Linked DNA regions of Caenorhabditis elegans. The protein of the gene in region 1 interacts with the protein of each later gene in a biochemical or structural test. Each region holds a gene or a part of one and is shown on either strand. Other genes may lie near its edges. The genes, in order: cye-1 and prom-1.

Region 1 (6,042 bases):
CAAAACCAGAAATTCACTCAAACTTACTTAACAAAGCTTGAAACATCACGGCAAGAAACTACGAAGATGAGTAGTGTTTTAGCCAAGAAACTAAATAATGATTCATTTTTTGATAAGAAACCCTGAACAAATTTTAACAAAAAAAGAAGATTAAACATTAATTAGAAATTCACGCAAACTTTTTTTTGATAAATTTTATGCTCTTTGGAATTTCATTTACAGTGTCTACAACTCTGCAATACACCTACAGTACCCCTACCGTACCACTTAATATAAATAAGCCAAAATCTTAAAGTAATTCTACAGTATTCCTGAGATGATAATTCATTTTAATTTATTGGAATATATTAATTTTTCATCAAATAAGTAAAAAAAAATATTGGAATGATGTCCTTAATTTTTTGCGGAGTAATTTCTGCTTTTTTTCCGAAAATTTTTCAGTGTTAAGAAATTTGGAGAAGGCATTTTGTTTCAACTCACGTAAATACTGTGCTTTTATAGTTTCTTAATTTTAAAATTTGAATGATCGTATTGTTGAAGCTAACAGAAACCCGCATACTCGTTAAAAATTGTATTTCGTATAAACAAACAGACAAAGACGAGTTGGGAGCGGGGTGGGGCAGAGGATATGTACCAGTTACAGTACCTGTTAAAAAAGTTTAGGGAGAAAGAAGCCTATTTCAAAATTTCCAGTTTTATGATACAATAAAAAAACCTAAAACATAAAATAAGCACAAAGTAAGAAGGGGAAGTGAGATGAGTAAAACAAAACATTAATAAGTTAATTGTAAAAGGGGTTTAAACACATTACAAAAACATCAAAATTCGGTAAAATAAAACGGAAATGCATCTTTCGATTTTCGGAATTTGAATATTTTTGTAATATGGGATCACTTGTTAAGTGAAGTTTTTGATATTTTCCGGGGTGCAATCATATTGAAATGGCACAGACTAGGTGAAAGAGAGAAAGAGATTGAAGGAAAGAATTAACGGGGACAACCTGTGTGCATGATTATTTGAAGTAAGTAATCTACAGAAATTTCGATGATAAAAGAATCCTATTGCGGGTTATTTTAGAAAAGTCGTTGCGGATGAAGACGGCGAGCTTTTAAATGCTGAATCCTCTCTCGTTCGCTTTTCTGGAAAAATAAAAATTATGAAAACAACCTCTAATTCATGAATTTTATATATCCACCTACCACAATAGGTTCCATTGAACTCCTTTTAACGTATACTTGAATATTGTGTGAATCATCCGATTTTATTGATTCATGTTTTGGAATAACATCGTCAAGAAGTTGTCGTTGTTTGGCGAACGCCCGGCACACCGGTTCAACATATTCAATAACTTTTTCAAGTTGAGCCTGCATAAATCCGGTAGCCTTCTCAACAGCACAAGTTGGCTCATAGTTGACAAAAAGAACAGCAGCAGCGATGGTACGATAGGAGAAAGTAAATGAGTCGATCTCAAATAGCAGAAAATCGAGAATTTTACACATTTCAAGATATTCTGAACGGAGTAATTCTGGCACGTACATGTTTTGCTCTTCGTAGTGATCAGACTTGTTCTTCTGAAAAAATATTTTAATCAACAAAAAATTTAAAATCCTACTTTGCCGGTTCCGAGTAATTGAAGATATGTTGAGAGCCATTGAATACTTGTGATTGGCCCAAGACTCCACCCAATATACTTGACGATAAGAACTTCCATAGTTCGAATATTATCACAGGTGAATGCACTATCGGTGAGATGAGCAAAATCGATGCACTTAGGTGGATAAATTTCCTGAAAAAAAAAACAAAAATTAATGTGAATCTATACTGTGAAAAAATTAATTGAACCCAAATTCTAGATCGGTGAAATATTTTATTAAAATTATTACCAGGCTTGCCGGTTTTTTTGGATTTTTGAAAAAGGGTGTAAATCGTAATATAAATATTTAATTCCGTTTGAGAACTATCGATTTTGAAGTGTTTTAGAATTTTTTTCGGTTTTGCTAAAAAAAAAAAACGAAAAATGTGTCAGTGAAACCCCTGATTGTTACCTCGTATTTAGCAGCTATAAATAGAGCAGCCGTCCCGACCAATTGAAAATTATCCGTTGAACATTCAACATTTGATGACTCTAAATATCTATCAACATAATCAACAGCCAAATGAAATGTTTCTCGGTGCAATTTTTCTGATTCACACACTTCCATCATCCAATCAATTAAAATACGTCGCTTTTCATCATCCATATCCGGATGATTTCCAAGCAAGAATCGTGTAGCACGTGGAATTTCGTCTCGTTTGACCATAAGAGACCAAACTTTTGTTGGTGATCCTATTCCATCGCATTTTGCTGTGCTGAGAAACGTTGGAGCCGTAACCATATGTTCGTCGTTCATGAGCCGTTTTGTAACGGCAAATCCTTCGTTTTGGACAGGATAATCTAAATTGTATCAAAATTGGGTAGGTTTTTCAGCTTGAAACACTGATACTCTCTTTGGAGACACTATTTTTTATCAAATTTTGATCTAAAATGCTAATAATTTCAAACGCATCATGAGTATTTTTGAAACTAACCATCTTCATCTTCAGATTCAATTTCTTCGTACTCCTCTTTATCGTTAACAACATCCTCCTCTTCATCATCAAAATCATCCTCAATTTCTTCTTCAATATCCTGTCTCTCTTCCAATCGGACCATCTCATGACTTTCTTCAGATTCGGCAAGATTATCAGATGAAGATGATTTATCAAACACTTCTTCTTCCTCAGGCATAGCTGGAAGTGGTTGTCCACGGGTTCTTGATGATTGTGATGATGAAGATCCAACTTCACGATCATCTGAATATTCTTCAAACAGAATATCATTTTTACTCTAATAAAACTAGATTACCACTAATATACTCCAAAGAATCTTCGCGGCTACCATTTCGATGCTTCTCGCCCGAATGACGTTTTGCAGCTGGACCTTCCTGTAAAATTAATAAATTATCAAACAAGATTGAACCACTATATAATTTTGTTCAAATTTAGGAAACTTATTTGATCGTCATGATTCTAAGCAGAAGCCAAAATGCAAAAAGTATTTAGGGGGCACCCGGAGTTGAACCAGGGACCTCTCGATCTGCAGTCGAATGCTCTGCCACTGAGCTATACCCCCAGATGAACAGTGAGACTCAGACGGCAAACAAGTATTGGACATACAAAGCGGACACAAAACTGTGTTCTGCATACGAAAGAGACTGGTCACTATGACTATCGATGTCTGCGTCTTATTTTCTCGCAAATCTGAGGTGCTGGTGTGAACATGAGATGAGAGAAGAAAAAAGAAAACGGGAGAATGAGTACATTTTGGCGCACTATTACACTGGTCAAATACAAAGTGTCTGTTTCTCAGTGCAAACTTTGTTTGCAAATTATTTAACGAGAGATGTTTCCTGTAGAACCCAGACTACTCAATATTGAGCGTTTGACTGTTAGTTAGTTACCCACGAAATTCAATTAATTTGTTAGACATTGTGTTTCTGGATGAATGCTGTTACCTAAATAAGTTAAATTCAAAACTGAAAATATAGCAAAATGTGTTTAAATCTAGAAATATTTGCTAATTTTGTTGGCAAATTAAAATGTATTCCTTACCCCCATTCAGCTTAGTAACAATCCGCAATCGTTTGACAGTTTTTCTTACGGTTTTCGAAAAATTAGAAGCAAAAATCTCTTTAGGCATTTGTACAAGTAGTAATATTATAATTTAAAAAAGTACTTTTCTTATCACTCTCTATTTCATTTCCCTTGTTCCATCTTAAAATGTTCACTGATAAGCACACAAACCTTAGTACTTCGTCGTTTTCTTGTCTCAGAACAATCTGATTTCTGACTTCCAACGCTCGAATTTCGGGTATTTCGTTGTGGAATATTTTCCTTCATATCAATTGCAGTCTCCAGAAGACGTTCACGCAGTTCGTCATGTGGAGATCTGAAAATTAAAATTTTTCGAAAGATGAATAAATATTTATAAAGTCTAAAAATTATCAGTTCTCTAATATCCATCTAAATTCAACTTACAAAATAGCAGATTTTCTTTCTGGCTTTTGTGTAGTGGGGACACGTTCAGCCGTCCTTGATGACTTTCTTCCAGCCATTTTGATCAAATTTCCCTGAAAATATCAAGTCGAGCTATTCAAAATATTCAAAAACAAATAAATAGGAAGATAACGACTGAAACTGGCTCAAATAACAAATGTTGTGCAGTTTTGAGTGTACACAATAGGGAGAACATAAACTATCAGTCAGAGGTGAAGAAGAATAAGATTTTAAATTCATAAAATCAGATAAGATTTGGTACAAGTGAATGAAGGTCGTTTTGGTTTTAGATTTAGATTTGCAGTTATTCCATTAAAAATTATTTAAGATTTGAATTAGGTGTGAATTTAAAATATAAACTGAGCTCATGAAACTGTTCATGTTTGCACGATACTTTCTATGCTTGAAATTTAGAGATTGATATCTGATATTTAATGAAAATTAATAAAGAAATATCAATTATACCATAACGAATGTCTAGTGGACATTACGCAATCAATCTGTGAAAGTTCAGATAAAACCGAAAAAGGTCAACTACAGACAACCTCCGTCATATGGTCTCTAGATTCAAATCGCGCGCTCATTTCGCGCGTTCCCTCCGATTTGCCGCCGTCCTCCCTGATGGTCTTACCACGATCTCATGTTTCTCTGCCGTCTCCAGAGAGATGAGAGGGTGCCTCTTGACACAGAGACGCAGGCAATCGACACGTACCAATAGAGGGCACAGCAACTGCCTCCGGAGATGTCAGACAATTGAGAGAATGAAGAAAAAACATCCGAAACACATCTTGCAGTTGTTTTTGTTTTGTTTTCATAAGCTACCAAATAAGGATAACGTTTTTCAAGTATCAAAACCTTCAAAACTATATCTATTATTTTTAAAATTTCTCTCATTTCAAATTGTATTTTAAAAATTTGATTATTGCTTTAATTAAATCTTTTGTAAAATTTTAATTTTCAAATTTTCAGCAACATGTCAGACGATGAGGACGAGGGTCGTCTACAGATCGATGAAAGTCCGTCCGATTCGGAAGACAAACCATCGATTTCAGCGCCCCCACCTCTTCCTCCACCGTTGCAGGAAACCCCCGAATTTCAAACAACTTATGACGGTACGTTATTTGTTTCAATGATTAACAAAAACTTCTAAATAATTTTTTGAAATTTCGTTTGAAATTTTTTTTAAGAAAAAAAAAATATTTCTCGTAAATCTTGAAAATTATTGCATTTAGCTCACGATCAAGCGGAAACTTCTGGAAAAGAAGACGGCGAGTTAGATGAGGATGATGAGAATGATGATATTGAACCAATGGAAATTGATGAAGAAATACAACTAGAAATTGATGAAAAACCAGAAGATCTTGTCAAAGACGAACAAATATCCGAGCCTACTGATAAAATGCGAGAAGAATTTTTAAAAGTGGAAAAAACAGATGAAAATGGTATGAAAATGGTAAACGGAAAAGCAATGAATAAGAATGAAAGATTGCGAAAAAAAAGCAATTTATTTCAAACAAAAATTTTTGGGATCAGTGTGAACACCGCCACGCGTAAATGCACGAAAGTCGCATCTACCGTAGCTGCTCAAATAATTTCAAAACTTTCGAGAGATCCTCTAGGGAAATGGAAATTCAGGCTATTAAAAACAAAATAGATAAGCGAAGGCACTAAAAATTAAAAATTAACAATTAAATTGCTTAGATAGTCTACTGCAAATAGCTCTCTTCATTAACATTTAAAAAAAAATTATGAGCGCAATATAAGAAGAATGTTCGAAATTTTAACAGAGAGTCCAAGAAAAGTAAATATACTCATAAAAACTTGATAAAAAATATTTATTGAAGAAAAAACACGGTTTATTTTTCCAGCTGTCGTTGAGTCAACATCATCATTCTCTCCGAAGTTAATCGATGAACAAGATTTAAAAGTTGAAGAGATGTCAGATGAGAAACATGCTCAATCGCCTGT
Region 2 (4,984 bases), 2.5 Mb from region 1:
TCGCGGATTATGTTGAAGTTACACAAGCGGAAGTTTATGACCGTAAAACGGATAAACCATGGACCCGTCTGACACCTTCAGATAAAGCAATGATTCGAAAAGAATTAAATGATTTTAAAGCTACTGAAATGGATGTTCATGAGGAAAGCCGCGTGTTCACAAGGTTTGTAGAAAATTTCATATTTTTAAATTTTCTTGATAAAATAATAGTGTAAATTTGAAACTTTCAGATTCCACCGGTGATACACGATTGAAATTAGTAAATTTACATGCACAAATACTACACTTCATTCGGGACACATATTTTCTTTCATTTTCTTTTCCCATTCTTCTTTCTTCAATTTTCCCCTAATTTCTTGTTTAAATAATTAATACTATTGAAAAGTATCAAAAAAAATCTCTCTCCCTTCCCCTCATTCGAAATTCTCTGGGATTTATATATATTTTGTTTGTCTTGCTCTAATCTCGATAATTCTCTGAAAATATTTCAGTTCAATCCCCCCAACACCCCATTTTGAAATTGATTTTCTCAAAATCATGTGAAAACACACATAGATCACTTACCAGTTTCTAGCCGGTTGACCCAAGTCTTCTATTGCTATTAATCTATCGAGAATTCGTTTTTTGTACCATACTAAACGCTTCTGATTGTAATGCTTCTTAAATCAACAAACGTCCGTAAAATGGAAGAAAATCTTTTTTTGGCACATGATAATTTAATTTGACAAGATTTTAGAGACAGTGATGGCACTATGGAGGGGATATATCAAGGGAAAAATGATTTGATTATTAAAAAGGAGGAAACGTTTAAAGCCGAATGGCTTGAAAACCATCTATGGTTATTAGTTTCCAACAGATTATGTTTTAATTAAAGGGGGAAGAAATCATAAATATCTGAAAATGGAATATATTTCTCTAGCTCTAATATATCTATAATGTTTTGAGGGGACATTCACACGTAGAAAGGAGGAACAAAATGGGGGGAAAAGGCAATACACATGAGAATGACACAAGATATGTATATACTGATATAATAATTTTCTCACTAATTACAGTAGTTTCATCAATACCGGCATAACTTCAATTTGACTCTCAATTTCGGCGCGTATGTCGGAAAAGTGTCCCATTTGATTTCGATGCTCGTCAATGTTTCGTTGATGCCAATCCCAACAACGATCAAAAAGAATACGACGTTGGTATGGTTTGAGCACTGCTTTTATCGTATCAATTATAGATTCCATTACTCCATAGACATCCATATCCCATCGATGTAGAAGCTAAAATTTCACGAAATTTACAATACTTTTGTATAGAAAATCATTTACTTACCATCTTCATAGTGCAAATTATATCACCCGCTTCATCTTCGTGATTACGATTCATTCGTGCAACAACACCAATGGGAACAAGCTCCGGTTCCAGGACGTTAAGTGCAACAAATGTGCTCATCGACCATGGATTTGGATATGCTGAAAATGAATATTTATGCTTATATTCTATAATTGAAGTCCAATTTACTCGTAATTTCTTCCATCAAATTGAAAATTGTATTCTTTGACCAAGGCAACACGTGTTTTAAGTTTCTGCACTGTATCAGAGCACACATTGCTCTTGATAACGGTTTTAACTCTTCAGCTTCTTCGGAAGTTACCACGGATAACAAAGACAATCGATGCCAGTGAATCACTTCTGAAACTCCAAAAATTATTATTCACTGAATTGTATGTCAAACCTTCATCATCTTGGATTGTGGTCGGAGAAAACAGAAGGTAGAAAAGTGCAGTCGGAAGTGCATTATGCGCTGTTTTGAAAACTTTCATCAAACTGCTCAAGAAATATTTATTAACACCATGAGCTGGGTCCGACGATCCATTATTCAAGAACAAATTCAATGTCTTTTTCCGCAACTGAAAATATTTAATATTTAAAACTGGAAAATATGTATGTTCTCCTAGATACAAACCTTCATCTCTTCGCGAAGAATTGGCATATTATCTAATTCTTCCAGCTCTCGATCCGTTTCGGGGGTGAAAAGAACAGCACTCAAGTCATCTTTCAGACCACTAACTAGCGCCAAGAGCATGGCAACGATGTCATCAATTTGCTCCAATACAATGTCTTCGTCTGGGCGATTTGTGAACTGATAAATTAATTTTTCAAAATAATCAAGGCATAACGAATAGTACCGCATGAATCATCTTGCCAAGTCCGGCAATCAGAGCACCTGACTCGTACGCCAGTGTCATAAACGATTTCAGACAATCTAGCCTCGCTTTCCATTCATAATTTATCGTCAGGCACCTCACGAGTTTTCCTGAAATTAACAAGAAAGTTTGAGACAAATCGTTGATGTTACTGACCCATATCAAAGAAGGGATCCAATGGTTTAGAACTTGGCGCAATGTCAATGTCTAACAGCCAGCGACGACGAAAAGCTCCACTTCTCATATATGCTCCGATTGTTTGATTCCAGCAGGAAGATGTCATTACCATGCGACTTAGAAGATTGTCTGAATAATTAATTCTACAAGTTAAATATATTTTACCACATACATGGTGTTCTTGTCAATATGTGGATGACGGCATCATAAGGTAGTTTACCGAAACTTCCATACGACGTCTCCACCTCAATCGACAATCTTGTAGTAAGCTTTGAACATACTTCTGGAATTAAAAATGTATGTTGGAGAATACTTGTGATTTTTTTACTGTGCTCATCGAGATGAAATGCTCGTTGATGATTAATAGCATCTGGCGATGAAAAAGGTAATCCATGTGTTTGCTGTGTTCTTCGTCTTTTACGAGAACATCGTTCCTCTGTGGCTGAATCTGTAAATGTAAACTCTGATTGAATGCGTTGAAGTGAAGAAGTACTACTTCTTTTTCTTAGAGACACTGAAGCATTGCGATGATTTTCTAGACTTTGTCTGGAAACTGGACTGTTTTGTGTTGTTCGATCAGCACTCCGCAAATTGTAAGTCCGCCTGGGTGTTGATTTATCCATTTTGGATTCTGAAAATGGCTTGATATTATCAAGTAATAGACCAGAAAGAACTTGACATTAAAAATATTTCACATAAATGATCAAAAACTAAAAAAACAAGAAAAAACAAAAAAAAATGAGGCAAAATATAGGTCACTCGCATTTAGGCGGGAATTCGAATTGATTTGAAATTTGAACACACCCCCACTACAGTACCCATAAAAGTCGTGGCGAGACCCATATGACAAAAGCAATGCGCCTTTAATTCGTTCTTTGGCTTCGATCGATTTTTCGGTTCTTTTCGAACTTTTCTTCACTTTCCTCTTTTTTAATCGATTATTTTGAAGCACTTGTTCATTTAAATTTTATTCCTTATAAATTAAACTGCTGCAGAAACTCAAAATCGTTTCCTTAACTTCATGGCTGTTAAAATCCGCCGTTATTTTCTGAATAATACGTTCGTTTAGTGGGCCGATAACTTCCTGCGGTTTTCTCATCGATTTGTTTGATTAAATTTTATTTGCAAGTTCATAATAAATGTATTTATAACCAATATTTGCGTTTTCGCGATTTTTTCGTATAATATGTCCCAATACTTATTTTGAGTTTGTTTCATGAAAGTTTTCGTATTCCTTTATCATTGGAGAAATAATCAAGTTCAGGCTGTTATCGTCTAGTTTTCATCTAACTCTTCATTTTTCTTTTCCCTCTCTTTTCCCCTCGAATTGTGGCCGAACTGAACAGTGGCTGTCGCTCCTTCTCTTCCATTTCTAATTTTTACTGCTCGCCAACCCCTAAATCTTTTATTTAATAATCAAATACATTTGAATATGTAGTTTTCATTTTATTATAACATTTGTATTAGTTCGAAAAATTATTCATTTAAACTTTCAAGTTTTCAGGCGATGGACTGCGACATAGCGTCGTATCATGTCGATTCATTCGATTTTCTTGTTTCAAAAGGATGTCAATTTGCTGCCCAAGCTGTTCCTGCAGAAAAATTCCGTCTGAAAAACGGCGATGCTGTTACAATGAAGTTCACGTCGGCTCAACTTCATAAGCCAACGCTAGATACCGGAGTAAGTATTTGATCTGCAATCTTAAATATTGAAAATTCTAAAAATCAATTTTCAGGCGAAGCTCACCAGTGACACTCTTCCTTTACTTCCCGCGGAATGTCGACAACGTGGACTGACATATGCTGGAAATTTAAAAGTTGGAATCGATGTCCATGTGAACGGAAGCCGGTTGGACATTATTGAAATTATTTTGGGAAAGGTAATTCTATAAATACTGCGTTGAAAGTAAGAATTGGGTCACCTTCCTTCGAAAAAGTTAAAAGTTAAGAAATAAAATACTTGTTTCGAGGTTAAATTTTCATTTTCTGAATTCTCCAAGCAAATATTAGAAAAAGAAAATACTATACAACAAAATATTTAGGTACCAATTATGCTCCGATCCGAAGGTTGCCATCTCCGTGGAATGTCTCGAAAGGAACTTGTAGTTGCCGGTGAAGAGCCAATCGAAAAAGGAGGATATTTCATTGTAAATGGATCAGAAAAAGTGATTAGATTGCTGATCGCGAATCGAAGAAACTTTCCAATCGCAATTATCAGAAAAACATTCAAAGAGAAAGGAAAATTGTTCTCGGAATTTGGAGTTATGATGAGAAGTGTTAAGGAAAATCATACGGCTGTAATGATGACTCTTCATTATTTGGACACTGGAACTATGCAGTTAGCACTTCAATTCAGACGGGAAATCTTTTATGTACCGTTGATGTATATTGTGAAGGCTTTAACTGATAAGAATGATGCAGTGATTAGTGCTGGATTCAAAAGAGGAAGAAATCAAGATCAATTCTATTCATCTTGCATTCTCAATATGCTTGCTCAATGTCAAGAAGAAGAAATTTTGAATCAAGAAGCCGCCATTAGAGCCATCGGTTCTCGTTTCAGAGTAGCCGTATCTGATAGAGTTGCTCCATGGGAAGATGATCTT

What was found.
Region 2: of the proteins of cye-1 (region 1) and prom-1, one has a biochemical effect on the other in vitro, tested with the Caenorhabditis elegans proteins (one study listed by BioGRID).

Annotation. Positions count from the first base shown.
Region 1 is NC_003279.8:6,778,912-6,784,953, reverse strand, and holds cye-1 (G1/S-specific cyclin-E), read right to left. Parts: upstream 4,149-6,042; 5' UTR 4,134-4,148; coding exon 4,057-4,133; intron 3,968-4,056; coding exon 3,823-3,967; intron 3,152-3,822; exon of another isoform or gene 3,080-3,151; intron 2,964-3,079; coding exon 2,885-2,963; intron 2,842-2,884; coding exon 2,569-2,841; intron 2,435-2,568; coding exon 2,046-2,434; intron 1,787-2,045; coding exon 1,613-1,786; intron 1,572-1,612; coding exon 1,200-1,571; intron 1,140-1,199; coding exon 1,074-1,139; 3' UTR 558-1,073; downstream 1-557. Other genes in the region: acdh-5 (medium-chain acyl-CoA dehydrogenase), read right to left, coding at 28-46; pqn-21 (C2H2-type domain-containing protein), read left to right, coding at 5,048-5,186, 5,307-5,516, 5,943-6,042. UniProt on the Caenorhabditis elegans protein: Essential for the control of the cell cycle at the G1/S (start) transition. In association with cdk-2, regulates proliferation, quiescent state and cell fate during the development of several cell lineages.
Region 2 is NC_003279.8:9,285,467-9,290,450, reverse strand, and holds prom-1 (FBXO47 ARM repeats region domain-containing protein), read right to left. Parts: upstream 3,009-4,984; 5' UTR 3,005-3,008; coding exon 2,878-3,004; intron 2,830-2,877; coding exon 2,710-2,829; intron 2,665-2,709; coding exon 2,554-2,664; intron 2,511-2,553; coding exon 2,361-2,510; intron 2,315-2,360; coding exon 2,187-2,314; intron 2,141-2,186; coding exon 1,964-2,140; intron 1,908-1,963; coding exon 1,733-1,907; intron 1,690-1,732; coding exon 1,519-1,689; intron 1,470-1,518; coding exon 1,330-1,469; intron 1,278-1,329; coding exon 1,050-1,277; 3' UTR 681-1,049; downstream 1-680. Other genes in the region: phac-1 (Phosphatase and actin regulator 2), read left to right, coding at 1-163, 231-243; rpoa-2 (DNA-directed RNA polymerase I subunit RPA2 homolog), read left to right, coding at 3,889-4,062, 4,118-4,261, 4,424-4,984.